Rhinolophus ferrumequinum: one gene and its partners. The protein of the gene in region 1 binds, or shares a complex with, the protein of each later gene. Links are inferred from orthologs where the notes say so. Each region holds a gene or a part of one and is shown in the gene's direction. Other genes may lie near its edges. The genes, in order: SNRPD3, STRAP, PRPF3 and DHX16.

Evidence for each region.
Region 2: SNRPD3 (region 1) and STRAP share a complex: the UniProt entries of both Homo sapiens proteins name them as parts of the SMN-Sm complex. The link is inferred for Rhinolophus ferrumequinum from reciprocal best matches to the Homo sapiens genes SNRPD3 and STRAP.
Region 3: SNRPD3 (region 1) and PRPF3 share a complex: the UniProt entries of both Homo sapiens proteins name them as parts of the U4/U6-U5 tri-snRNP complex. The link is inferred for Rhinolophus ferrumequinum from reciprocal best matches to the Homo sapiens genes SNRPD3 and PRPF3.
Region 4: SNRPD3 (region 1) and DHX16 share a complex: the UniProt entries of both Homo sapiens proteins name them as parts of the minor spliceosome. The link is inferred for Rhinolophus ferrumequinum from reciprocal best matches to the Homo sapiens genes SNRPD3 and DHX16.

Annotation. Positions count from the first base shown.
Region 1 is NC_046308.1:22,251,247-22,258,262, forward strand, and holds the start of SNRPD3 (small nuclear ribonucleoprotein Sm D3), read left to right. Parts: upstream 1-4,009; 5' UTR 4,010-4,630; intron 4,631-6,010; 5' UTR 6,011-6,028; coding exon 6,029-6,154; intron 6,155-7,016. Other genes in the region: protein GUCD1, read right to left, coding at 3,465-3,507. UniProt on the Homo sapiens protein: Plays a role in pre-mRNA splicing as a core component of the spliceosomal U1, U2, U4 and U5 small nuclear ribonucleoproteins (snRNPs), the building blocks of the spliceosome.
Region 2 is NC_046293.1:29,904,958-29,912,157, forward strand, and holds the start of STRAP (serine-threonine kinase receptor-associated protein), read left to right. Parts: upstream 1-4,187; 5' UTR 4,188-4,512; coding exon 4,513-4,624; intron 4,625-5,363; coding exon 5,364-5,499; intron 5,500-7,200. UniProt on the Homo sapiens protein: The SMN complex catalyzes the assembly of small nuclear ribonucleoproteins (snRNPs), the building blocks of the spliceosome, and thereby plays an important role in the splicing of cellular pre-mRNAs.
Region 3 is NC_046305.1:50,663,181-50,670,405, forward strand, and holds the start of PRPF3 (U4/U6 small nuclear ribonucleoprotein Prp3), read left to right. Parts: upstream 1-4,217; 5' UTR 4,218-4,350; intron 4,351-4,394; exon of another isoform or gene 4,395-4,474; intron 4,475-7,090; 5' UTR 7,091-7,135; coding exon 7,136-7,225. Other genes in the region: MRPS21 (28S ribosomal protein S21, mitochondrial), read left to right, coding at 1,921-2,101. UniProt on the Homo sapiens protein: Plays a role in pre-mRNA splicing as component of the U4/U6-U5 tri-snRNP complex that is involved in spliceosome assembly, and as component of the precatalytic spliceosome (spliceosome B complex).
Region 4 is NC_046286.1:1,279,212-1,286,402, reverse strand, and holds the start of DHX16 (pre-mRNA-splicing factor ATP-dependent RNA helicase DHX16), read left to right. Parts: upstream 1-4,180; 5' UTR 4,181-4,377; coding exon 4,378-4,584; intron 4,585-5,770; coding exon 5,771-6,018; intron 6,019-6,114; coding exon 6,115-6,277; intron 6,278-6,584; coding exon 6,585-6,641; intron 6,642-7,191. Other genes in the region: PPP1R18 (phostensin), read left to right, coding at 244-263. UniProt on the Homo sapiens protein: Required for pre-mRNA splicing as a component of the spliceosome. Contributes to pre-mRNA splicing after spliceosome formation and prior to the first transesterification reaction.

The DNA of each region.
Region 1 (7,016 bases):
CACTGCTCGCTCATGACACCCATTCAGGACATGAAAAGCCTGCCCACATTGTTTCCTCACCTCAGGTCTCTGGGGCCTTTCTTGAACCCAAGACCAGCCGGTGCAGAGCCGTCCCGGGAGCCTGCCTGCCCCCCACTGCATGCCCCCAGCATGAGGGCCACGCATTAGCCCTGGAGGCCATCCTCGCCTTCCGACCTACTGGCCTCGTCTGGGCAGTGCCTTCTTAAAAGGAGTCCCGTGCTCCTACTCTCCTGTGTCTAAATCCGCCCCCGCCCTCACGGCCTGGCACAGATGCCACCACTTCGGGGCCATCTCTGAAAAAGCCACGCCCTTTCCTTCATCGGCACTCCGCCAGGCCTGAGTTCACACTTTGCCTCCCAGAGGGGACCCTGGCACCGAGCTTGTCTGTGCCCTTCTGGGCCGTTGTACATTCCTAAGAGGCAGTGACCTGTGGCGGCTCCTTTGCTGCATGGTACTGGTCTCTCTCTCCAGACTCCTCACCCTCAAGGGCACGCAGCAGCGTGGGAGGCAGGATGGCATGGGCGAGGGCAGGCCACCCACTGGCTGAGTCACCTGAGAGGCACCTGACTTCCCTGAGCCTGCTTCCGCCTTTATGAAATGCACCATCACAGACACCAGCCAGCAAGGTGGTGGGAGCGCTCAGGGCAAGGAGGTGTGTAGAGCCCTTTGTGGGTGCTGATGTGAACCCTGCCTCCATCCAGCTGGGAGGGGGCCCGGCACACTGAGTCCAGGCCTGGCTGAGGCTTTGTTCCCTCCTTCCCCCGACCCCAGGTGCCTTTAAAAGGAACCCAGGCACTTCATTCAAGGCCTTCACACATTCTCCTCCTCCCATTGCCATGGATTCAGTGCTGAGGGCTTACTCCCGCCTGACCTTTGCCTGTCTTCTCCAAATTCCACCTCAGCTCCTCTGCCATCTCTGTACACAGAAGCCAGAGGGATGCCATCCATAGCGTCCCACTGCTCTTAGGATAAAGTTCTCACAATTTACCATAGCCTGCAGGCCCTGCCCAAGCAGGACCTACCAGCCTCATCTTTGCCTTTACCCCTCATTTACCCTGTTCCTGTTACTCTGGGCACCCATCGAGCTTCATTCCACTCCAGGGCCTTTGCACATACAGCTCTCTCTACCTGGAACTCTCTTTCCCTTGCTGTTCTTAAGGCTTCCCCTGATGGTCATTTCGGTCTCAGCTCAAAGTCTCCTCTTCAGAAATGCTTTTTCTGGCTACATCTTCAGAGTGAGGGAGCCCGCCGTCACAGCATGCTGTTTGTTTCCCTCACAGTACTTAGCAAAAGTCAGTCAGTCGATCAGGCTCTTCTGTCTCCCCACTAGCCTGGAAGCTTCCTGAGGGCAGAGAATTTGCTAATCTCGTTCACTGGTATTCCCAGTGCCTGGTGTCTGATGCTTAGTAGTAATTCAACATTTGTTGGAAGAAATGAACTTGTTGAGCACCCACCGTGTGTTAGGATCTGGGGACACTGTGTGACTAAGATCCAAACCCTGCCCTCCAGGGATTCATACTCTAAAATAATTCCCCCCAATGGGCTGAGTGGAGGAGAGCTCTATGCAGGGTATTGTCCCCCCATGGTGGGGTGCCTCCCTTTTCAAGAATTCCCTGTGGACATAAACGGCCTTTGTGTTTTTCTCTACACAGGCTGTTTATTCCCCAGCCTTTCCTCTTATATATCCCTTAATTTGGAACGTTGTCTCCCATCTCTAAACGTCCGAATGCTCTGGTCCCTTTCCTTCTCTGAGACCCTCAATATGGATTATTTGAGGTGGTGTCCGTATTCCCCAGTGGACAAATGGAGAATTCTTCAGGGGTAGGTGGGGACAAGGTGGCATTTACCTCCTCCTAGCCCTCAGCCCAGAGCAGGCACCCAGACATGCTTGGTGACTGGAACATGCTTTTCCCCAAAGGCCTTATCCCTTGAGATGCCAGGGGCCTACCTGTCACCGCAATGCCCAGCACTCCCACCCCCAGGCTTCCAGACTACAGCCTGTTCATGGCTCCCTCCTTACTCTGTACCGCAGGCTCTGGTATGGACTAGCTGGGCTTTGAGTCTGTCTGTACTTTCTCCTATGCCCAGCTGTAAATGTGGCACAGGGCAGTTGCTCTGAGCTCTGCTGCCCCTTTTCTTCTTGCCCTGATCCTTTAAACTCCTTGATCCTGAGGTCCCGAAGAGCTGAACATCCCCTTGTGGCCGCCCCCAGTCTTGGCACCAGCAGGTCTGCCCATAGGGACCCACAGACACTCCTGTGGGGAATGATAAGAGTAGGCGAGGTCTTCCAAGCCCAAAGCTGCTACAAGATGTTGATGCCTGAAGCAAAGGGACTGTCCCACGTGAGAACTAGGGTCTGCCTAGAAGGCCCTGGCTGGCTTCAGTTGGCAGCTGTCACCAAGGAAGGAACGCAGCTCACTGGCCCTGAGTACTTAACCCCTCTCAGCCTCAGTCAGCTCATCCATAAAAGTGAAAATCACAAGGCAGCCTTCTTCATGGGGTGGTGATGAGGATTAACGAGGCACTGCATGTAAAACACAGCACAGTGCCTGCTAGAGAAAGCTCTCTGTGAAGGTGAGCCATTACTCCACTGACACTGAGGCTCAGGAAAAGCAAGCGCCTGGTCCGACATCACAGAGTTGGAGTAGGATGCAAATCCCAGGGTAGCATTAGACGGTACTCCTTGCTGCAAACGCAAGAGACCACTTCCTCGGGTGACACTGTGGTTCCACTGAGGCGTTAGTGTCAGGTTCCCACGCGCTCGCTCTTGTCCTCTCCCATGAGTTGGCAACTCACTTCAGAGTTTACTACGGTAGTACTACCACTACCACTGTCTCGTTCTCATCAACCCTGTGCCTTAAGCAGAGAAGAAATCACTCCTTTCCCCCTCCCCCACCTAGAGAAGCAAACTGAAGACCGTGACACTGAATGTCAGTCTTGGTTTCCACCCCAAAGGAACTCAGGCCACCTCGGCGCAGAAGGAACCAGAGGGTGAAGAACTGTACAGGACAAAACGCTGAGTCCGGGAGGCCAGGTAAGGGCCCTCCCATTGCTCTGTGCTCTCAGCAGTTCCTTGCGCTTCTAGGCCTTGGTTTCCCCAGGGGTCAGGATCTCCCAAGGCGACTCCAGCAGGACTTTTTGCTTCTGGGGAAGGTGGCGCCCCAGCCTCACACGCTGGGACCCTCCCCACCATGACCGCTACCAGAGCTGACTGGGGTCTCAGCCCTGGGAGTATCAGGAAACCCCAACTGACAGGGGCTGGAGGGTAGGGAACCAAGGCGGCTGCGTACACCTGGCCAAGTTTCGCTGGAAGCTCTATAGCCTCGCCGGAGGCGGCGGTCGGCCCAAGGTCGCGCGCGCGGCCGGACCCTGCCCCGCGCTGTGGAGGGGTGGGAGTACCCCTCGTTCCCGAGTGAGGGCTGGGCCCTCAGGGAGGCACTAACCGGGCTCGAGCGGCGACCCCGCTGCCTCCGCCTCCGTCCTCATGACCCGGGCGGCGCGGGGCGCCCATGGCCCCGGCCTGGCGCCGGCTGTAGCTTCGGCTGGGGCGGGAGTGGGACCGGAACGTGTAAGGCTCCTCCACCGCCACCTCCACCGCCAGCGCGGTGGGGAGAAGAAGAGGCGGTGGCAGAGCCTCCCCAAGCCCCGCCCCGGCCCCTCCAGGCCTCAGATCCTGGGACCCCGCCCCTTCCATAAGCTCCTCCCCTTCCCTGGGCCTCCAAAGAGGCCACCCCTTTCCCATCCCTCGTCCTATTACTAGAGGCCCCCCGCCTCCTGATCTAAGCCCGCCCGGGCCAGTCGCAGCCTTGGCTTTTGGTGACCCCGCCCCTTTCCCAGTTCTCGCGCAGACGCACAGGCCCTTCTCCGCCTCCGTTCCCGGGGAGCCCCGCCCCTCTCTGAGCCCCGCCCCGAAACCCTGTAGTCCAGCGAACATTGGCTCCCCAGAGGCTCTTCCCCTTAGCAAGCTCCACCTCTACTCACACCCGCTTCTTTGTCAGCCTCAGGTCCAAGGCCTGGTCCTGTGGCATAAATCGTTGGGCTTCGGGAGACCTAACCCTACTCCGAATCCCTGGGCCGGCACCCCCTCTTCTCTATACCTCAGTTTCCCTATCCGTATGGTGAAATTCGTCGCCTTGCTCAGGTCGCACTTACCTGGCAGTGCCGGGTTCCAAAGGTTAAATTGTGAGGGGAGATCCTAGCCTTCGGCCCTACCGCCTGCTGCCCCCGATCCGACGGCCCAGACCCTAGATCTCCGCCCTTGGATCCAGCCCGTCCCTGGTGGGGGGTGCTTGGAACCGCGAGTTCCCCTCTTCCCTTGACGGGCTGAAGGTCGGTATTTCGGGTGGCACCTGGGCCCCATCATCAACCCTCTTTTCTGGGGCCGGAACGATCGTACCAGAGCCCACGTTTCCTAGCCGGCGGGGTGAGGAGGAGGCGGAGGCGAGATCGCTCTCACCACTAGGAAAAGGAAGGGGTCGGGTTCTGCGCGCGGCATTTTGGGAACGCATGGTATTCTGGGAGAGCGGAATCCGCCATTCGCTCGCCTCACGCCGTCGGAGTCGCCTGAGACACCGCAGCCGCGCGGGAAAGGAAGAGGAGACCGGAACCGGTGAGGAAAGGCCAGGGGCAGGCGAGGGTAGGCCGAGACACCCGTGAGGGGCCGGGGGCTGGAGGACGCACAGCCATGGAGCTCTGCGTGGCTCGGGGAGGGAGAAGAGCGGGAAGCCTGGGCCACCCAAACATCAGCGTCGCCTCACTAGCGCCTGGAAGTGAGTTTATTAGCTTTTCCCCAAAGTACATGCTCTTCATTTTCTATACCTCTCCAGGTCTGTTTTTCGAAGTGTGCAGGCAATAGTCTTGAAATCATTTCTGACTGATTGCCTCCATCCTCCATTCAGGCGCTGGTGCCCCGTGCTTTCCACACTGGTACAGAAGTTTTATCACGTTCCCCTGCTTCTTAACTGTGTTTGATCCATTTTATAAGTGCTGCTACCTTTTTGTTGGATTATTCCTTACATATAATCTTGCAGTGGTCCTTCGCTGTTTTCAGCCTAAAATCCACACTCCTAAGGCTCCTCTCCAAGGGAGCCGGCGTGTTTTTCCCAACCTCGTGTTCCTTTTCCTTTCTTGAACACACATGGTGCTTTCCAGCCTTTAGTCGTTGTTCATTTTGGAGTTAAAAAACCCTTCACTTGTCTCGTTCAATTAGGTCAAGCCAGGCGCTTGCCCTGATTGTTTCTCTTCCAATAAAAGCATTTCCTGCTTCTAGCACATTGTCACTCTGTGAACACTTTGATATTTTCTCTTTAGCCTTGATGGTGAAGTGGAGGGTCAAAGGGCATAGAATGGGTTAAATTAAATACACAACCTCTTCCAGATTTGCCTGCATCCTTTGGTCTATATGAGCAGTGCTTAGTAATACTGTATATATGTATGCCCAACACTAGCCACATGTGGCCATTGAGCACTTGAAATGTTGCTAATATGACTGAGGGACTGAGTTTTTTAAATTTTATTTCATTTTAATTAAGTTTAATTTAAATGGCTACATGTGGACAGTGATTGCTGTCTTGGACAGCTCGGGTTTATATCATGGGTTCTCAAAATGGTGTCACCTACAGCTCTGGGTTGACAAATACATTGTAAGGTAATGCATGCCACCCCCCTTGCCCCCAAACACACAGAATTGATTGATGGTTATTTGGTGAAGATAAAGGGACATAGGATAGCAGGGAGGAAGATGGAAGGTACTTTTCATTCCCATTAGATTTCCCTCTACCCGGGCTTCCATTCCTCCCCACCCCACATGTTCCATGTATTTTTTCAGATAGGTACCTCAAGCTAGATGTTAAGCTTTTTTTGTAGAAAATGCAGCTGAGACATCTTTGCTAAGTTTTATGGAGTGTCAGGCCTTAAGGGAGGCATGGTATGTGCCACATGCCTTCTCAGGCCCTGAAAGATGAACTAACTGTTGTCTCTCCCACTGTAGAACTCTCTTCCTGCCAAGATGTCTATTGGTGTGCCGATTAAAGTTCTACATGAGGCGGAGGGTCACATTGTGACGTGTGAGACAAACACTGGTGAGGTGTACCGTGGGAAGCTCATTGAGGCGGAAGACAACATGAACTGCCAGGTATCCTGCTTTGTACATGAGACTGGAGAAAGCTTGTGTCTCTGTCTTGCGGGACAGAAAGATGGTGACTGGAGGTCTTTTTGAAGTTCTCATTGAACAGTTCCTTACTGAGTGCCTAATGTGTGCCAGAGACTGGTATAGGTGCGGGCATATGGGCATGAATAAGAGCCATTCAGAAGTTTGGAATATTTAACTTTGTCCTTTGTCCCATATTTGGGGGACTGTTTAAGAGAAGTGGCACTGCTCCCTTTGTTGGAATCCTTCAGGTTCAGACCATTATCCATTTGCCCCCACATATTTGCATAATGCTTTGCAGTTAGCAAAATCTTACACTCACATAATGTGCTTATTTGCCAGTTTTCTTGAGGGGAAGAATTTCATTTGATTATAGCAACTACCTTTCGAGGTAAATGGGTTTGGTGGGAGTTTTGTCATCCATAAAATAGGGAGAATAAGATTAAAGGACTCATCTAGTGAATGTCACCCTGCTAATAAATGTTGGAGCAGCTTCCTGATGTGGTGTTCTTCCCGTGGCACTACTTTGCTTTTAATAATCACAAGAATCTGTATAACATTACAAAGTGTATCCGCACACTTTCTCCTTTGTTCTTTAAACCATCAGTTAAGAGCTTGGGCTTTGGAATCATGTTGGTTTGAATCCTGATTATACGACCATAGCCATGTTAATCACCTCAGTTTCCTCATCAGTAAAATGGGAATAGTGTTACTTTGGGTCCTCTGTGATGTAGATGCCAAAACTGAGGAGAGTAGCATGGGGCAGAAATGGCCTGGCTCTAGTACCCCCGCTGTGGCCAGTCATTGGCTGGCAGCCTGCGGAGAGAGTGGCCTCGGGGTGTATGTA
Region 2 (7,200 bases), on another chromosome or scaffold:
AAAAAGGGATTTACTCTTTCCTGTTTGCTTCTTGGTGACTTCCTACCTGTTTGAGCTACAATGGCCATTGAAGCAGCTAGTTTTATAGAAGAGTTAAATACGCACTCCCAATAAGTACAAAATAGAAGAACCTAGGAGTTGTGACTTTTTCTTGTACCAACCGATGGAGAGAGGGAGGGAAAGCCCTCAGCATTTAGGCCTTCAGATGGCCGCCACTTATTTCGAACTCTATTTCCTCAAACTCTAACGTTCCTCCTACAGACCTTGCTTAACCCTTCACCATCTAGGGGTCCCCACCTATTTTCTCAGGGAAATTCAACTTCTCCCAAGATAAGAAAGGAACCACATCATTGTGTATGGTAAATCACACAAGCTTTGTCCAGATGGTGATGGAGTTTTCCTTGGCCTGGGTTTTGCCAGAGAAACACAGGAATTTTTCAGTGACACCATGGGCTCTGGTTTTATGAGATAAAGATGGTGAGTGATATGATTCCAGATTGATCTCTCCATCACTGAGTGCTGCTGCCATTCTTCGCCTGATTAACGTAAGAACAAGGGCAACTCTCTTCCATGGGTATTAATTTTCTTCCCAACACAACATGACCTAGCATTATATGAGGAAGGTATAATCTTCATACTGATGTGACTTTGACTCTATTCTTTTGGGAAAAAAATAACACCTGAATTCCTGGATATGAATCTTTTGATTTTTTCCCCCGAGCATATCCATATTACTAGAACTATCACTTTAGTTTAGAATCACTCTTTATGAATCATTTAGGGAAAATGGTACCAGCTCTAATGGATTCTTTTCTGACAATGTAATATTTCCTCTCAGGCAAGTGTGGATGATGGGGTAGGGGGATCGCATTTTATCCCATCAAATTATCTGTATCTCTATCTCTACCTCTATCCACAAAACCATGACAGCTGATCTTTCTAGGGTAGAAGCAGAACCAAAAGTATTCATATTCAGTCTCCTGTCTTTGACTTGACATGTAATTTGAGATTTCTCACCCCACAAGAGGCTGATTTCATTTCAAAATCATAAACTAATACTCATTCTTCTAGCTAAAGTTCTAAATATATAGCCAAAACACTTTGTAATAACAGAGGAGAATCAAAAAGAATACACTGACACTGTTCTTATACAAGTAACAGACCAAATTAATGCAACTGTCACCATCTACTGATGAGTGACGTGGGATCTTTCCTTTAAAAAAGTATTGTTTTTAAACAAAATAAACATAAATGTAAATGACAAATAATTACTGAAAAAAGGTGAAATGTGTAAAAATTTCCTGACACTCTCTAAAAATATGAAAAGATGAACTCTATAACAAGAGACCAAAATAATATTAATAATAATAATAATAATAATAATAATAATGTGAAAACAAATGGAGATACAAAGACAGAGTTAAGGGAAAAAAACTGAATAAAAAAAATAAAAGCATGAATGTGTGAAAAAGAATATAAATGGAGCCACTACAAAACAGAGTTGGAGCCACCATCCCAGAGGAATTGCTTGCATGTCTTACTCCTCAAACCTTCGGAATGTTCGAAATGGGCAAAATAACCTTTGGACTGAGCCAAAGCAACACTGTATTCCAAATAAGTGTTTGCAAAACTAAAAGGAAAGTATACATCCTGATTACCACACTGAAAATTAAAAACATTTTTTAGAATTAGCACCACCATGTGTAGTTAAAGAATAACTTAGTATATGTGTACCTATACAAATTTCTTCCTGGACTTAACACCCATAGAAAATCTGTCCTTCTATTCATGTAATTACTGCCCCTCCTTTTGTCATAAATACCCTTGCTTTCCTTTTCTAATTGTAACACTGTTGCGATATCTGCCTGAATCACTGCTTCCCAGAATTGCAATTTTTTAATCTCAAATAAATGCTTCCTGCCTCTGTAACTTTTTAGGTTAATAAATATGAAAAGAACATTTGAAACAGTGAAAAATAATTGACTCACAACAGTTAAAAAAAAAAAAGTGGGAAAAACACCGAGTGCAGTAGGAAAGATGTAACTCAAAGGGAAGAAAGTAAATCAAAATAGGTAACTGTCTGAGACTTTGACACACTCAAATTATTTTCCTGGTCTTCCTGACATGGATGCCCAGCTAGATTATATTTTCCAAACCCTCTTGTGGCTATGTGTGGTCACTAGTCCCATATCTCACCAATGTAATGTGTTATTGAGTTAGGCAAGACATTTGCTTGGACAAGACTTTTTCAGATTTGCATTGTAGTCTGAGTCTCTTTCTATGCGATTCTCTTTTATTTCTCACCCTTTCACAAGTATCAGGCCAGCATTATGGCCTGAAGGCTCTCCCTGCCTACTTCACTCCCTTTTCCTTTCAGCACTCACTTGTACCCGACCTAATAGGAAATACTTTGTGTTTCATTATTAGGTGTGATGTTTCTTAGGATCTTCTATTAGGTCCCTCCTATTTCTAATATCTAGAAGTTTATCATGAATGGAGGTTGAATTCGATCTAAAACTTTTTACATATTAATATTTTTCTTTTAGTCTTCTAATGTGGTAACTATGTTAGTTGCATTAATCTGTCTTCTAATAGTAACTGACCTTTGAAGCCAGTTAATCATTATACATACTTTTAGAACTCAGAATCCAAATGAACAGGAACTATACATTCTTTAGAGCAAAGTAGTTATCAGTTATATGTTTACCTGCATACAATGAGCAATATATGGGCAATATTAATAGTTTACCAAATAGTTGTTTTAATTTGCGTTGTGTTTTTTATTTACCTCCATCAGTAACGCAGTTATTTACACAATCAGTAAACGAGCATTTGTTAAGGACACACTATCCATGAATAAATGCCATTCACTCTTCTGGTACTAGAGCACAAACATGACAAAGCCATAACCATTGCCATTAAAGAGCTCATAATTCAGGTGTGTGAATGGAGTATGTGTATGGGTGTGTTGTGTCTAAAATATCATGTAGAAACACATACAGTAAGTGTGGCACAATAAATGAACAAAATTGTGGAATTTAATTAAGGAATTAAATTCGGGAAGCACTTCAAGTCCCTATTCAAGTCATTGGACTTGAATCGTGAATGATACATGTTCAGCACAAAAAAGATGATGGTGGAGAAGGAAAGATTCACAGACGTTGGTACTAGTTGAATATTTATTGGTATGTGCCAGGACATTAAGGCCTTGGGGATAAAGCAGGGATAATTCACAAAAATCTCTATTTCCGGTTTAAATTATATCATCAATGGAAAGAAACACCATTCCCAAAGAAAGCAACTTTCCTGCTTAGGAAAGCTTTTGTATGAGCAATCAATCAACAGTTCTGGTTGATACACGGAGCAGCAATACTGAATCGGGCTGCCTGCAGGAAGACAGTACCAGAGTTCATTTATATTCAGTTTTTCCAGTCTTCTAATATTACTCTTTTGTTCGTTATAATGTATATGTAATTTACAGTTATCTGTATATCGGGAATGCAGGCTCAACTTTTATTAATGCGAATATTTCCTCAAAAAGGTTTGGGGACCACTGCTCTAGGGTACTCCGAATTCCTCAAAGGAAAAGTAATTGGAATTTAACTGTATTTAAAGCGACATAACACTCATGTCTAAGACACTAGCAATACAGGAATGTCACATAACAGAACGAGTGGCTGGGGAAATTACTTTTTTAAGGGCCTTACTTGTAGACAATCCCAGAGGAAGCTGCTTATACAGTTGTTACAAAAATTGAAAAAAAAGTTCTTAGACTTTGTTTGCAGGTTTGGCCGGCCGCCGTAAGGGGAGAAACTCGGGTTTTACTGTCCTTCTGTCCAGGTACCGACCACAGTCCCACTGGTGGTGTTGCTTGGTGCGTAACCCACGGGAGCCGGCTGGTCCACGGTCTCGGCGAAGCAGGGACACCTTTCGTACCCGGTGAACTCGACACGGCGATAACAAGGCCGTTTACGCCTGGTCAGAGCTCAGCGTGTGGGACTTTGCGAAAGCGCCTAGACTAGACCATCTCCAGGCGCCGTACGAAGCCGGCGCGGGGCGAGCATCACGTGCCCTACGTGCGCTGATCTCGCGCCTGCGCGCTGCTGTCCTACTGGCTCATTAGGGCTCTTCTACCCGGCAAACTCGCCTTCCCTCTGTATCATCACTTCCGGCGGACGCTGAGCGTCATTGGAATCGTCACTTCCTGCCGGTAGCGGTGTGGACGGTGCGGGCCGTGGCCGGGCTTCTCCGAGTCTCCCCTTCCCCTGTTTTCCTTCCTCCCTCCCTCTCCCTCTTTCTGCGGCTGTGGGTGGCCCGTCGCAGACTCCCTGACCCATCCCTAACCTTTTCCTAATTTCGGTGTCACTGGATTGGCCTCCTTTTTCTGTTTTCCGGTCCAGCCCCAGTGTCAGGGCGGGGGCCTTGAGGAGCCAGAGACGCTGCAACTGAGGAGAGAAAAGAAGGAGACGAGACCCCCGGCTCCCCAGCCCGCCAGCTTGGTTCGCCGCCGCCATGGCAATGAGGCAGACCCCGCTCACCTGCTCCGGCCACACGCGGCCTGTGGTTGATTTGGCTTTCAGTGGTATCACGCCTTATGGCTACTTCTTAATCAGCGCTTGTAAAGGTGAGCAGGGCTGCTGATCCTGGTTTCCAGACGTCTGGGACTGGGCCGAAACGGAATGGAGCCGGAACTCCACAGTGCCGGAGGGGTTGTGGGCATCTCAACCTTTGAGATGACGGTCAAAGAGTAGTGTTAGGGGTTCCGTAGCGGCAGCCAGAGGAAGCTTTTCTGACACCTCCGACAAGGCTAGGTATTGCCTCCAACTAAGGCTGCTCATTTTACTTTTATTGCTATTTCTGGAGAAGCAGAACTGTAAACTTGCCTAGACACCTTGGCCGCCAAACTGTAAATATCTTTCAAGGGTTTCGGCAATGGGGAAACGAGACCAGATGAAGGAATACTTTACCAAGACTTGTCCCTCATATTATGTCATTGGATATTCCGTTGTGGTATTAGCCCCATTTTTCAAATGGAGACTGAGATTTAAGTTAACAAGTTTGTCCAAAATAAGACTCGATTCTAGATTGTTCTGTTGCAATTCAGTATTCTAACCAAATTACAGATGCATCCCAGAGAGAATCTCTGGCTCAGTTCTTCAGTTAATTTATGAAGTTAGTTTAGTTGTACGCGTATGTAGTTACCTGTAATTTATTTCTGAACATTCCTTAGTGACCCCAGTGAAAATAGTTTAGACAACAAAAGCAATTTTTCCACTTGGTTATTCATCATGATTTTATGTTTGAATCATAGATTTTAAGTAATTTGAACTTATAAATCACAAGTCTTTTTAAATATTTTTTAGACGGTAAGCCTATGCTACGCCAGGGAGATACAGGAGACTGGATTGGAACATTTGTGGGTCATAAGGGTGCTGTTTGGGGTGCAACATTGAATAAGGATGCCACCAAAGCAGCTACAGCAGCTGCAGATTTCACAGCGTAAGTATAGCCAAAATGGCCAGCTTTGGGGATCTCTGTGGGTTGTGTTCTGAAATAATCAAACTTCAGCCTGTTATAAAATTCTAATTCAATGCATATGAATGTTTGTTCTCACCAAAATTGCACCGTGGTCCTGTCTGCTGCTTTCTCTTCAGTGGTTCTTAACAATTTTCAGAGACTTAAGTGATTTATTTAGCTTGTCTGGACCTGGGAATCTGCATTATTAACGAGCACTGCAGATAGTAAATGTTGGGGGTCATGTTTAGAAATATTGCTCCACCTGTGCTTCCTGAGTGATACCTATAAACTCCTATGACTTTCTCTTGCTAACGGCCCCAGACTTTTTAGCCTGATCTCACTCTCAGTTTTTGTTAACTGGCTTTAGACATATTTAAAACTTCCATCAATTGCTCTTCATTTTCTAAGTTTAAGTTCTTGATATTTCCCTTATATCCAGATTATCTTCGTATTTGTTGATTATACCATCTTAATGCCTCCTGACTACAATGTTTCTTACGCCTCTGCCACTGCCTTAGTTCAGGTCCCTGTCACTAGTCTCTGGTCTATTCATTTTCCATAGTGCTTCCAGTTGTCTTTCTAAAAACAAATTTCATTATGTCACTTCTTTATCTAGTGATCTTCCTGTCTTCCCTCTGCTATTTCAATGGTTCATGACCTTGGGTGTACATTAGAATAACCTGGGGATCTTTTAAAATACTCAGATGCATATGTCTCAGAATTTTTTATTTAATTAGTCTGGGGATGGAGTGCCCAGTATCAGTTTGGTTTCTTCCCCCGTAAAGTTGTCACAGGTGATTTTGATGTGCAGCTTTAGAACCACTGGCCTAAGGATTAAATTTCAGTTGTTGGCACTTTAAGATTCGGCCGCATCCTAGTTCATTAGCATCATCTGGTACTGCATACTATATGCCCTACAACCTAGCTATATTACCTATTTTGATTTTTGGTTTTTGCATATATGTTATTACAGTGACTTGCAATGACCCATTTTTCCCTTCTGGGCGTGTATCATTTTGTATAATCTTTGCATTTCCAGTTTCTAAGTGTATTTGTGACTTAGCAGATACTTAAATGTTTAAACTAATGAAGGCAATATCAAGATCTATTGTACTCGTTCGTATAAAATAGACTTTGTAAGACTTAAGAGTCAGGAGAGTAAAAGTGGTTTTGTTGGTTTTTTGTCTTTAAGACAGAATTTCACACTGAGGAGCAATTGTAAATGTTTTGCTCCTTTGTTTTGAACAAATTAACGTACCAAGTTTATTATGAAAAACAAAGGCAGAGTGATGGTGGTGGATACATGACTGCATTTGTTGAAACTCAAAGACTTCTATACTGCAGTGAATTTTACTGTATGCAAATTTTAAAAATGAAAATTTAAAATGAGAGGGAGATGTAGTGCTTACATGGGATTAAATTAGACATGGTAAGAGATCAGTAAGAAAAGTTGTGTTAGTCTAAACTTTTTTGTGTGTCATCGATGAGTAGATTGCTATTATGTCTTTAGGCATCACCACTATGAGGCTTGTGCTGAGCCCTGTTGCGATTGTACGTAATATTGATAAAATAGGGAAATGCTTGGTTTTATATAAGTTCATTTTATGTCAACAGACAGCTTTAGGTCATATGTTGCTTTAGATGTCAGCGTGCCTATAAGGTGACAGAGACTCCTTTGATTGT
Region 3 (7,225 bases), on another chromosome or scaffold:
ATGGTTCCATTGTGCATCAGGGTTGAGGCTCACTGGTAAGGGTTAAGGAAATCATGTCGAACCAGAAACGGAGGTTTACAGTCAGAATCTGGAGGAATACCAACATGGAAGGGTAAATCGAGGAAGAAAGTCAGCAAAGGAGACCCTGTGTGGGCCAAGAGACTCAGTCTTTTCATCTTTGGTGCCCTACTTCTCTATTGTAAGACTCTAGTGTTGAATCCACATGACTTCTGGGCATGACTGTTTTCAACAGAACCTGAATGAGCGACCTCTCCTGCTTCCGGGAGTCGGCAGCCAGTCCCTTGCCTCCCATCTCCCTGCCACAAAAACCTAGACAAACTGATCTATACACATATGATTTCTCTAGTAGCCTACAAATCATTCTCGATATTAAACAGCAGGAGGCTGGGAGAGGATCCCATAGGTACAGTGGTTCCCATGTCTATTCACATTTGTAATTTACCCAAAGCTGAAATCTTTTCAAGTTAATGTTCAATCTGTTGTTATCTTGGGCTTTGTGATGTAACATACATAGCAGCAATAAATAAGATTTCCCGCTGGGCAGAAGTAGCTGGTGATGTCTCTTATTATTTCCTTCTTCCTGTGTCCCCCTTCTTCCAATTACAATAGCCGTGGCTCAATCTCCTTGTCTCCAATTGTGTTTGTGACTTACTTTTTACATGTAATGAAAGGACAGGGTAAGCAGGAATGGGGCCATGTAAACAATGCCAGGAATGGAGGACAGTAGCGGCAGGTGCCTCCAAACCTCCTCAGGATCAAGTGATGGTGGGTGGAGAGGGAGAGACAAATTGCAGGTTGGAGCCAGAGCTCTCAGGAGCCTATGAGTTATTAGGTAGATTGGAGAATAAGCCCCTTGTCTTCTTGGCTCACTCAAAACAAAAAGGGGAGTTTGAGTTCGGTGTGTTATAAATCCAACAAGAGAAGCTGCATTGCAAGAAATTGGGTGGGCAGGAAAAAAACACATTGAACTCAGTTTTATGGACATTTAAAGGTTAATAAAACATGGTCTCTGCCTTCGAGGATTTTCCGTCTAATGAGGGAGATGTTTGTAAAACTAGCTAATGGAATGGCAGAATGAAATAATTGCTAAATAGGTGTTTAATAAAATATTTTCTCTAAAGAAGATGAGAAAGCTTTGTGGAGAGGTGGCATTGGGGTTTGGCATCAAAAAGATGAGGAAAATTTCAGTCAGAAGGTTGGCAGCCAGTGGTTGAAGGTGGCATTCCAGGCTGAGGAAGCAGCGTGAGCAGACGTGTTAGAGTGTGTTCAGGGAGTAGTCAGCCAAGTAGTGTGGTGGAGCAGGTGGCACATGGAAAAATTGTGGGTGAGGCTGTTATCTTAACGTCCCCATTTGTGTCACCGGTGTGATAAGGGCCTCTTCTTTCCTGTACTAAGTAGGCCCAGAGATTTCTCAGATCTGCCGACTTCAGCTGTATCAGTTTTTAAACACAATAGGGATGGAACTATATTCTCTACTAAGGACCATATCAGAATCACTCCTAGTGACTTTTTTTTTTTTTTTTTTGCTACTGTTAAGAGTCACCCCATGTGAAAATTCTGAAATGACCCGTTGCTTGAGAATCACTGCCATAGGGAACCACTGTTCTTATGAGACTGTCATATCCCTCAGGTGTGCTGTGGTAGAACAAAGGTTGAGAACATGATCCTGAGTGTAAACTCCCCAAGAGCAAGGACTATGTAGATGATTGCTTTTTTATTCCCCACAGATTCCTATATGGGGCCTCCATAAGGAGACAGTTAATACTATATTGCCACCATTTCACACCATAATTTTTACAGACCCCAAGTGTTTGGTCAGTTGACTTCTGGCCATCTGTGAAATTGGAAAAGAATAATAATGAGCCCCACCTTCTAACTTCATTGCCGTTCTTTGTACAGAATCCTCAGCATGGATGGGCTCATTGAGGACATCAAGCGACGACGGTACTACGAGAAGCCTTGCCGCCGGCGACAGAGGGAAAGCTATGAAACCTGCCGGCGCATCTACAACATGGAAATGACTCGCAAGATCAACTTTCTGATGCGAAAGAATCGGGCGGATCCATGGCAGGGCTGCTGAGGCCTGTGGGTAGTGGGCCCAGTATGAAAACCCCTGTCCAATGGTGTCTCCACCTCTTTTCTTTCTCCAACCCCATTTTATCTTTCTTGCAATAAGCTCAATCACGGATATATAAGAAGGCCTGCATATATAGAAGCAGTCCCACTAGTCAGTTATTAAGTGAAAGAGAAACTGTGCCAAAAAATAGTCTTGGAGTAGAATGGTGATTGCCACGAGCTGAGTGGGGGTGGAGGGGAATGAGGAATTACTATTTAATGGGTACAGCATGAGTTTGGCAAGATGGAAAAGTTCTGGAGATGGGTGGTGGTGATAGTTGCATAACAATGTGAATGTACTTAATGCCACTGAATTGTACACTTTAAATGATTAAAATGGTAAGTTTTATGTATATTTTACTATGATTGTTTTTAAATAGTCTAGGAAAGCTGAGGACATTTTCTAAAATGTTGTAGAATATATCTACCATTTCTTACCCAATTTCTATGAAACACAAAGCAAGATCTTATCATTGGGAAAGCATGTTACTCTTTACTTGCACTGCCCTCAACTGTTAAATAAAAGGAGAGGAAGCATGTGTATATCTGGAATAAATTCTTCAGAAACTCCCATCAACCAGACTAGAGTGCTGGAATCCTTGTCCAAAGGAATCCTTAAGACAAATCTAACATTCACTCCTGTTTTCTGTTTTTCCTAAAGGAGGCTAATGGAGGGATGGTGGAGAAGAAATAAAGCGGTAGATGGATGGTAGAAAAGAGGAAATAGAGTGTTAAGAGACCGGAGGACACAGAGCCTGAAATACCTAGAGCAGCAGTTCTGAGATTGTGCTCTTAGGTCAAAGTGTGCTCTTCAGATCTGCAGTATGAAGATCACCTGAGAAATTGTTTGAAATGCAAATTCTGGGCCCCTATTTTAGACTATGTGAATTGGAAATTGGGGTTGGAGCCCAGTAATCTATTTTCACAAACCCTGCAAGTGATTCTGATGCTTGCTGAAGTCTGAGGATCACTGCCCTATAATAGTACTTAAAAGAGATTCCAGGCTGAGGTCCCCAGCGCCAACCCTACCTCTCAACAGGCACTCCTGGGTCTGTGATTCTTGACAGCTGGGGGCATCTGACTGTGGGAGGAACCAGCTGCTCTGCTTCCTTTCCTGCTGTGTGCTTCCTCTGGCCTTGGTCCCCTGAAAGCCATGCTGCTGATATAAGGAGTGTTGATGCCAACCCCCAGAGGAGAACGGAAGAGGGTAGGCGGAAGCAGCTAGCCCACCTCTCCTCACCCAGGCTGCAGCCCTCAGCATAATGTTTAAAAAGGAAGTAAACTGAGCAGACAGCCTGGCCCCCTACCTCTCCAAATTGCTAGTGTTCAAACATTGCCCCCTTGTGGTGTATATATTGTTACCTATCAGGTAGCTTTATTGAACTCAGAAGCAGCTGTTTTAAACGCATTTACCTTCGGTCACTTGTGGTCCTCACAGCAGCCCTCTGAGGTGGATTTTTTTTATAGGTGAGGTAACAGGGCTTAAGCAATTTGCCTAATGTATAAATAATGGGTGGGAGAACTGGAATACAGATCTAAGCAATCCGGCTTTCAAGCCCCTGCTCTTAACCATGAAGCAGTATTGATTCTCAGAAGAGGATGCCTGGTGCATACTAGTAGGCAGTCAATAAATATTCAATTAACGAATGAGACAAGAGGAGGGTGGGGGAGAGTTGCTATCTTCAGAGTCCTCCCATACACGTCTATTTTCTGCGTCGGTCTCTGGCACCACTGTTAATTTACTGAAGGAGAAAGGTTAGGGAGACGTGGCTAATGTGATCTCGACTCTTACTGAGGATTGACTTTATAACACACGAAAGGCCACGTTTAGCCTGAACTCATAAGCCCCGCTTTTAGTTCTAGCGTAACTTCAGCGCACTGACTCGCCACACTAGGAATATTGCAAGCAGCCCGATTTCTGTTTCAGGCAACATTAACCTTGCAGTAATCCAGTTAGGAGATTTAGCTGGGGAAAAGGAAGCCGTGGGGAGCTTGCACGGGGCAACTTTAGGGCTCCGCCACGCATGCGCCCCGCCGCCAGGAAAGTGGCTACTACGGCTGCGCGCGTCGGTGGCCCGGCCCTCCCCGTCACGTGTGGAGGACCGTGGCGTGGCGGCGGCAGTGGCGGTAACGACGGCAGGCCGTAGGGCGGTCGGAGGGTTTCCGGTTCCGGTGTAACGTTCGGGCTCCGTCTCAGGGGCTGAAGTTTGTGAGGTGAGTAGTGGCCCCGGGCCCAAAGAGGGTGGCCTCGGGTCGGAGCGCCTGGGGCCGGGGCTCAGTCCAAGAGGGGGACCGAGGCTGGAAGGTTCAGCGGGAAGGCAGCTGAGAGGAGAACAAGGTTCTGCGGGAGAAGGGGTTGGAATGAGATTGTTGAGAGGAAAAGGGCGGGGGCGGGAAGGGGACGGGGTGCGGAGACTAGCTCTGAGACGAGGAGTTTGGGGAGAACAAGGTGGGCTCAGGGCCGGCCGGGGAGAGCAGAGAGAGAAGAATGGAGGTTTGGGGGTGGGGTGGGGGTGGGTCAGTCGGGGTGTTGCAAAGAAGAGCACGGAAATCCTTCAGAAGATTGGAGTCTGCACCCTCCCCATTCAGAGATCCTTCTGCCTGCCTCCCCACGCCATAACACACACCCGCCCCACGCAGTTACTGTCCAACATTTGATTAGTGACAAAGCTAGTTACTGTTGGAAACTTTCATTTTGGCCCACGGGCTGTTTAGTTTGCACATTCTCTTAGGAAGGATTGGGTTGCACTTGAATACATTTGTTAGTTTAGTGTTGGGCACACATTTAATCTAATAGACCGGTTCCTCGTGTATCGCTTTGGATTTTCAAATTGCTTACACTTTCTAGCCTGTGATTCAATTCTAGTGGAACATAAGCCCCGTTAAGACGAAGATTCTTGTCTGTTTTGTTCACTGGTGTACGTATTCTCAGCACCCACTATGCTGCTTGACACTTAGTAGTTACTCAATAAATATTCGTTGAATGAATTAAGTACCAAGATGAGTAAACTGAGGCTCAGAGGAATTACTTGCCCAAACGCTGGTAAATGGTAAAGCTCCGTGTTGCAACTCTTCAGTGTGAGCTCTTTATTGACTGTGGTATCTGAATATGCTGCTTTTAAGCAATGCACATTTAATATATAGGAGATTGAGAGGTTATACTGCTGTCTCATGATGGGTGAATAGAACCACCTAGAAGTATTCACATAATGTGTCACTGAGGCAGGAAATCTATCACTCCTAATTTCATGACTTCAATCTACTAGTTTCATACGGTTATACCCAAATTTAATAACACCGTTTAGCAACAGGTCTTATAAGGGACGTCCCTGCCAAGAATGTAGAAGTTAATCAGACCGTGTCTTTTAGGAGAAAAGATGCCTTAAAAACGGCCTGAGAGCTTGACTCCTACATCAGACCCTGATATGTGGCCCTGCTGGGAGGAGGTTATCTGGGAAATTGAATTCAGTGCGGTTTATTGACTTTTAGGCACTATGGTGAAAATAGGGGAAATACAATTTTCTCTATGCTCATGGGTTTTGAAATTTAGGTAGGAGATCAAAATGTAAATGTGACTATTGTTTAAGAATTGTACTAACTTGTGTTAAATGACAAATTAAGGATTTGTTATAGAATCTTGTATGATAGTGTAAAAAGTAGAAAAATAAAGGTGAAAAGGCAGAACATCCAAAATGGGGGTATTCTTTTCTGAGCTGGGGGATTACCTTACCCAAGTCAACTGACAAAGACCCTGTAGAACATGAGAGAAAATTGTCTGGGTACAGAATCCCCACTAGCTTGCATATGACTACAGAGAAATAGAACATTCTTAAGGATACGAGCTTTGATACAGGATGACTGACCTGAATAAGCCTTCCTCTATCTGCATCCCTTAAAAGTAAGGAAACCTGTAGGTTACGGCTGAGTTAAGGAATGCCTGCCTAGAATTAAGAATAGAAAAGCTGCCTCTGGCTGGGCTTTTTCAGTCTTGTTTCCATATTATACTCATATGTTTGCCAGTCCTGTTGATACAACAGGATCAAAAAAGGAGCCAGAACTCATTGCTCAGACTAGGCCATTCCCGGGTTTTATCTGTTTATTCCACAAGTTTCATTGACTCACTGATAGTGAGTCAGGCTTAGAAATCTAATGGGGGAGGCCGGCCCAGTGGCTCAGGTGGTTGGAGCGCTGTGCTCTTAACGCCGGGTTTGCCGGTTCGATTCCCACATGGGCCAGCAAGCTTCACCCTCTACAGCTAAGATTGTGAACAACAGCTTTCCCTGGAGCTGGGCTGGAGCTGGGCTGCTGTGAGCTGCTGGAGGTTGGCATGAGCTGCCGTGGGCTTCTGTGTGCTGCCACGGGCTACTGTGTGCCGCCATTAGCAGCCGGCAGCCAATACAAGCTGCCATGTGCTACTGTGGGCTGCTGTATGCTGTCGCGGGCTACCATGTGCTGCCATGAGTGGCCAGCGCTAGTGACCGGCAGCCAGCGCGAGCTGCCGTGGGCTACCATGTGCTGTCATGAGCGGCCGGTGGTCAGCGTGAGTGGCTGGAAGACATCATGAGAGGCCAGCAGCTGGCAAGAGCTGCTGTGAGCTGCTGTGAGCGGCCAACTGACAACTGGCGACTGACTGCCTCAGCCGGGGGGAGCGCAAGGCTCATAACAGCAGCATGGGCCAGGGAGCTGTGTCCTACACAACTAGACTGAGAAACAACGGCTTGAATCGGAGTGTGGCGGGGACAAGGGAGAAGAAGAGGGGGGAATCAAATGGAATGTATTTCTGCTTTGAAGTATAGGTTTTAGGGAAAGTATTTGACTTGAAATGAAGAGGAGCAGCTCGACTAAAGATTGAGAATAGAGGTGGGGAAGACATTTGTAATGTAATAAGCATTGACTGGAATCACTTTAGTCTTTTCCTGTCCTCTAACTTAATTCTTTCCTGGTTTCTTTTTAGGTGCAGTACTAAATCCCATTTGACTTACCTTCCTTTTCCTGAAGAATGGCACTATCTAAGAGGGAGCTGGATGAGCTGAAACCATGGATAGAGAAGACAGTGAAAAGGGTGCTGGGTTTCTCAGAGCCCACAGTG
Region 4 (7,191 bases), on another chromosome or scaffold:
ACATCAAATTATTTAATCCACCTAGAGTTTATTGTGAGAGTAATTGAACTTTAAGAATGCCTGGCACACAATATGAGCTAAATGAGTATGGCTGCCATGACTGGTAGTAACAGGCACTCAAGATGTGGAAGATGTTATAAGACTTCCTTATGACAACTGGCCTTCAGTTCCGCGAGTGGGGTGGGGAGGCAGGGAGCAGAGGACCTCACTCATTCTCTGTCATCATTGTCTCCTTTCCCACAGATGAGTCCTGCCGGAGGTGACCCCCTTCCAACACAGGCATATACCTCCCTCCTTCCCAGAACTGAAGATCCTGGAGCCCAGATGGTTCAGAACAGACAACCCTGAAAATGAGCCTGGCAGGGAAACTCAATCAACATCTTCCAACTTGCTTTCCTCATCCTATTTCTGGGGGCAGACCCAACTGCCTAAATCCACCCTCACCCAAGGTCCCTGGTGTGAATGCATCAGGCATGCTCAAGCATCCTAGGTGAGCCAAGAGTGAGCTCCAAGTCCCAGGGAGCACAGAGCTTCCTGAGGTGCAGATGGAGCACCCCCTCCACCTCCTTGGGCCCAGCACACTCTCCCTACAGCCTTCCTTGAATTCCCCCCACCCCAGGGCTCTCAAGATTTAAGCACTCCTGTCCCTGGGAGGCCTGGCCCCCACTCCTCTTACAGGCTCCTCTCCCTGCTGCTCCTTAGGTCACTGCCCCTTTGTTTACAGCTCCCAGCCCCCCACCCCCCAAAGTCCCAGGTTTACAAGCTAGGTTTACTATTTGCCTTGCTAAGTCCATATGGAGTCCTGTCCCCTATCCCTTGCAGTCGGCTCATTGGGAGTGACCTGGGGCTGTGGCTTCCTCCACTTTTGCTCAGTATTACTGTGCCTCAGTTTTTCCCCAAAAGGGAAGGCTGGGAATATTAACTCTGTACCCCCATCTGGTTATTTAATTCTGTTCCTCCTATTCAGTTCACAAATGAATTGAATTGCAAGGGTGCAGGGTGACTAATAAGGCACCTCAATTTTCCCTCATTCTTCCTTGTCAATTGCCTGTTGTTGTTTTTTTTTAAGACGAAAACAATTTTCCATAATAAAATGTAGCCTTAAAGACTTTCCCGCTGTTTCTCCTTCCCCCCTCTTTCTTCCGCCCCCCACTCCCCACTCCGGTTCAAGCCGTTGTTTCTCAGTCTAGTTGTGTAGGACACAGCTCCCTGGCCCATGCTGGTATTAGGAGACTTGCACTGCCCTCAGCTGAGGCAGTCGGTCAGCTGCTGTGTGCCGGGTGACACCCTCCCTGTCACCCCCACCCCCAGCAGCAGCTCACACCAACCTCCTGGCTGCTCAGGGCAGCCCAGCTCCAGGAAGAGCTGTTGTTCACAATCTTAGCTGTAGAGGGCGCAGCTCACTGGCCCATGTGGGAATGGAACCAGCTGCCTTCCGCGTTGCGTTAGGAGCAGGGCGCTCCAACCGCCTGAGCCACCCGGCCGGCCTGTTTCTCCTTTAGAAAAGAAAAAGGTATATGTGTGGGGAGGCTGTGCCGCATTCCCAGTCTGCCATCTTCCTATTGGCCAGGAAAAGGAAGTGGCCATGGCTGTGTGTGGAAAAAATAATGGGGTTGAACCAGGAAATCAGCATTGACATGTAGAAAGGGCTTTGAGAGAGCCCTGCACTGGTTTCTCAAAGGACTTATTTGAGGAAGAGCAGTTGAAGTATCCACTAGACTGCAAGTGCTATGAGGGCAGACTATGTTGGTTGGGTTTATCCCCATGCCGGCACCTAGTAGACGAGAGAGAGAGAGAGAGAGAGAGAGAGAGAGAGAGAGAGAGAGAGAGAGAGAGAGAGAGAGGATGTCTAGAATGAATGATTGAACAAATAAATGAATAGATGAAAAGAGACAAAATATTGGAAGCAGAATTGAAGGATTCCAGTATTCAGAAGCCTACTGCAGTGCAAGCAGACAGGTAGTGTATGATATTGGCTCATCCAGGGGCGTTTACTCCAGGATTCTGGACCATTAAATAATAAATCTCTTGTTGTGAAACACAGTGTATGTACAGAAGTGCAGTTTCCTGGGAAAGGGTCTCCTCTGATAGAGAATAGGTTTTATATTCTTAAAGGTTTAAGAGCCATTGCTATTTCATGGCTTTGTTGCTTAAGTAAAATTGATACTGGGAGATTTTCCCACTTCAAAGAATTTGTATCTTCTACAAATGTGAAGGATCTATATTTTACTTACCAAGTCAGTTTTTTTAGTTCTCCAGGCTAGTAAAGATATGGTTGAGTAGCTATAGTCCTACAGTATGCTTCTCTCAGCCCCAGTCAGAGGAGACTCCTCCTTACTAAGAACAAAGTGTATTAGACAAATTGGTCTTAAACATACGCCAAAAGTATTTAATTTACTAGCAAAGGAACAAGCAAGGTGTCAAAAGAATGAGCTGGTTCAGAGGCTATGCGCATGGAAGGAAACAATGCTTACATTAATAGCTAATTAGGTAAAAATCCTAATCTGTTGTGACCCCAGGAAGTAGAGGCAGGAAGACCAGATATGCCAGGGGTGCTCATGGTCCATCTCAGAAACAGAAAACAATGCATCTAAGAAGTAAGGAGTTATCTGTGGCTGTTAATTGGAACAACAATATTTCTTGTTTCAACAACAGTGTAAGTCCAATTAATCATAAAAGTATGAAACAGAGTCAAGTAACAAGTTTCGCTTATTTTTATTTTATTATTTTTAATTAGTTTTTATTAGTTTCAGGTGTACAGAGCAACATAGTAGTTAGACATTTACACCTCTCACAGAGTGATAACCCCCATCCCCCAAGCTACTACCCCTTTGACATTTTATACCATTGACTATCTTATGTTATACTCCACCTCCCGTGGAGTATAATGTATGTATTTTTTTCCTTATAGTTGACATACAATATTAGTCTACTTCAGCTTCAGGTGTACAGCGCAGTGGTCAGGCATCTACACAGTCTATGAAGTTGTCATGCAGGGTGTCATGCGGGGTCTCAGTTCCTGCTCCCTGCATGAGAACGCAGGACATGGTGAGGCCAAAAAGGAACACCAACGGAGCCGTAGGTAGGGGAGTCATACCACTGTATCCTCGCTGGCAGCTGGGTTGGAGACACAGGAAGCGGGAGCCACATGATCTGCAACCTGCCGTCCGTTTCTCTGTCAACCAACCTCACTTGCTAACTGCAATCTGTGCTTGTTATCTTAGCCACGGCAGTTATGTCAGTGGCCAATGGCTAACTGGTTACAGCTGACAGCCAACTAGTCACAGTTGATGGCCATTTACTACCCGAGCCAGCACCTTTCCACATGAGGCCAAGAGCCTGGAAACTGCTCTCCGGGACTCTGTCCCCACAGAAGTGATCCCCTTGATAAGTCCAGTGCCCACCTGGCACCTTACATAATCTTTACAACATTGTTGATTATATTCCCCATTCTGTATTTCATACCCCATGACTATACTGTGTTTACTAATTTGTTCTTTCTAATCCCTTCACCTTCTCCCCCATCCCTTCCCCTCTCCCATCTAACAACCAACAGTTTTTCTGCTTATTTTAAAATAAGGAGTCACCAGTGAATTTCTCACACTATTAGCAAAAATGCAGAAAACAATTTGCACATGCCTTAGTTTGGAGAGATCTTTTAAAATTACTTTCTGAGACAGCATCGAGAAAAGCACGTTCTTTTTCCCCCCAGATCCCAACTTTCTTCCTGCCTGGAGGTCCTCACTTATGCCTAACCTGCATTCACTCTTGCTGCACTTATTGCTCCTAGCAAAGGTTACTCTGAATCAGTATGGGCTTATCTTTAATGAGCATGGACTTGATCTTCTGATTTGAAATAGAACCCCCATACATTCATCTTGCATTAATTTTGGCTCCATAGAACTTACATGGTTTATTTATTATGTATCTTCCCTCCTCCCCGTCAAACGTAAATTTGGTGAGGGTTTTTGTTTTGTTCTTTGTTCTATCCCCAGCGACTAAAATTGTGTCTAGCACACATTAGGCGTTCAGCATTGTGAATGAATGAATGAAGCAGCCAGAGGCTGACTATCAGGGGCGACAGAGAGACACGGTACGGCGGAAGTGAAATTATTTCCTCCGAGCCACAGATAAGGTTTCGCGAGGTTTGAACTCGCTCGGCCACCGTAGTGCTTACGTCGGAAAAGTGCGGCCGTTTCCGGCCTCCCCGGCCGGGGAAGACAGCTTTGGGCTGTCGGAAACCGAACCCTAACGTCTTAAGGTGGCTCCTTTGCGGAGCTGAGGCTCCAGCCCGGGCCTTCAGGTCTCCGACCCGCCCGGCAGACGGCGCGGCTGTTCGAGACCCTTCAGGGCCGGAAACCGGGAGCGCGGGTCGCCATGGCGACACCGGCGGGGCTGGAGCGCTGGGTGCAGGACGAGCTGCACTCGGTGCTGGGGCTAAGCGAGCGGCACGTGGCCCAGTTCCTGATCGGCACCGCGCAGCGCTGCGGCTCAGCGGAGGAGTTCGTGCAGCGCCTGCGAGACACAGATACCCTGGACCTCAGCGGGCCGGCCCGGGACTTCGCCCTGAGACTCTGGAACAAGGTGTCTGGAAGGGAGGGGCCCGCCGTGGGAGCGGCGGGAGAGGGGGTGGAGCAGGGGAAGGGCTCTAGGTTATTTTTCCAGGTGAGGCTGGGCTAACGGTCCATCCGGGAATTAAGTCATAGGCTCAGTTCACAGCATTTGTCCTCTGTCCGCTGTCGCGCGGGTACTGCGCTACGTACTGGACGTCCAGCTCAGTGGAGAAGACCGAGGAGGGCTTAAATGTGTTCGGTTAAGTGTTATAGAGCAGTGTTTCTCGAACTTGAGCATGTATACGACTCATCCAGGGCCCTTGTTGAAGTACAGATTCCGATTTTGTAGGTCTGGGAGTGGATCTTAGTTTCTGCATTTCTAACGAATCTTAACACGTTTCCAGCTGATGCTGATGGTCCAGGGACCACTCTTTGAATAGTGAGGCTGTAGAAGAGAGGCTGTAGAAGGAAGTGTTGTGGGAGTATGGTAGGTGGGGGTAGTGATCAGGAAAAGCACGTCCAAGGATTCCCTGGAGTTGTCAGGTAGAGAAGGGGTAAGGAGTGAGCTCCTGGAAGACAGGACTGTATTTCTTGTCTTTGTGCTCCTACCACCTAATCGAGTGCCTTACAGGACAGGTGCTCAGAAAGTTTATAGTAAGAGTGAAAGTGTTCAACATGTTCAGAGAATGGCACGTAGCTTGGGGTGGTTGTCCCATATGGTACTTGGCAAGAGATGGGGTTAGAATGTAAGTGATACGAGGGTGAGGATTTTATGTTAATCTGTCACCAGAGTATTCTGGAGTCTGGTACAGTGCCAGGCCTGTGACAGGCCTCTGCAGAGCAATCCTTCTAGTGTGTCTACAAAAGGACTGACTTAATCATTGGGAAGAGCACAGGCTAAGCAATTGAGAATTGGGTTTGAAAATGTAAACTCCATGAGGGCAGGGATTTTTCTCTTTCATTTATTTCTGTATCCCTAGCTCTTAGCAAGTACCTGGTGCCTGGGACAGGCGTTAATAAGTGTTTGTTAAATGAATAACTGACAGGAAGTTCAGAAGCTCAGAGGCCCCTTTTAGGCGGAACATGGTGTGAAGCCATGGGGAAGAGTGAAGGAAGGCTGGTTTCAGATCAAGTCATTCCTTAAATTGGGAACAGGGCAAAGTAGGTATGAAGAGATCAGGAGTTGCTCCCCTCCCCTTACCTGTCTCTGTTGACAGGTACCACGGAAGGCAGTGGCAGAAAAGCCAGCTCGGGCAGCCGAGCGGGAGGCCCGAGCCCTGCTAGAGAAGAACCGATCTTATAAGTTGCTGGAAGACAGTGAGGAGAGCAGTGAGGAGACTGTGGGTAGGGCTGGGAGTAGTCTCCAGAAGAAACGTAAAAAACGGAAACACCTCCGGAAGAAACGCCAGGAGGAGGAGGAAGAAGAGGAGGAAGAGGTTTCTGAGAAAGGGAAGAGGAACAGAGGGTAAGTCAGAAGCAGGGTGAGAGAGGATGGGGCAGGTGGATGACAGGATGATAAACCTTCTGGATGCCCTTATTTAATCCTCCCTCTGGGCTGCAGGGAGAGCAAACAGCAGACAGAGAAGCCGGAATCCGAGGATGAGTGGGAGCGGACAGAGCGAGAGCGCCTTCAGGACCTGGAGGAACGTGATGCCTTCGCCGAGCGGGTTCGGCAGCGGGACAAGGACCGGACTCGCAATGTCCTGGAGCGGTCAGACAAGAAGGTGCATAGGAGCTGCGCATTCTGTCATCCCCAGGATGATCCCTGGGTCAAACAGGGTGGGCGTGATGCAGAGGGAGTGATTTCTGGGGAAACAGGAGATGCCTCCAGTGGTATGCTCACCTCTGGTGAGAGAACCCCTCTGGGTCCTCTGGCTACGGCAGCCCTCTGCTAGAGAGATTCCTCACCGAGAAGGGACATTTCTTTGTGCTAGGGGACATCCGAATGATCCTTATAATTCTAGAGGGGGAATGGCTCTGGCTGTGGGTGCTTTGGCCTCACATCCCTCCTCTCTTGCTTTCTTCTCCTAGGCTTATGAAGAGGCTCAGAAGCGCCTCAAGATGGCTGAGGAAGACCGGAAAGCCATGGTGAGTCCCAGTGCCCAGGAAGCCAAGAGCAGAAAACAAAAGGAAAGACTTTCTGGTGGCATGGTTAGAGGGAGGGAGAAAGGATACAAAGGAAGTGTGGTGGGGGAGCTGTTGGGGCTCGGGTCTCTGGAGGAGGCGCTGGGTTGACAGGACTCTGCTGAAGGTGGACTGGAGTTAGAGGGGAAGGGAGCTACTCGCAAATCCTCCTTGACTCTTTTGGATCAAATCATACTGTATGTTAGTGAGAGAAATGTGATACTTAACCAGATGTAATCAGAAGTAGCTGGAAGGTCAAGGGGTTGGCTGGCGGGCAAGGGCAGGGCTGCTGTCCCACTGCCCAGGTTTATGCTGACTGTTCAGCTTCGGGGCCCACCATGTCCTAGTGCCTTCCTACCACCCAGTCCCTCCATCCCCATGTGGCCTTGTGATCTCCCTCCATTTTCCTGGATGGGTCTTGTCACTGCACAGGAGCAGAGCCCTTGTAATTGGTGAGCTGGACCTGTTCTGATGTGTCTACGTAGGGTAGGCAATTCTCCAAAGGCCTGGTCTT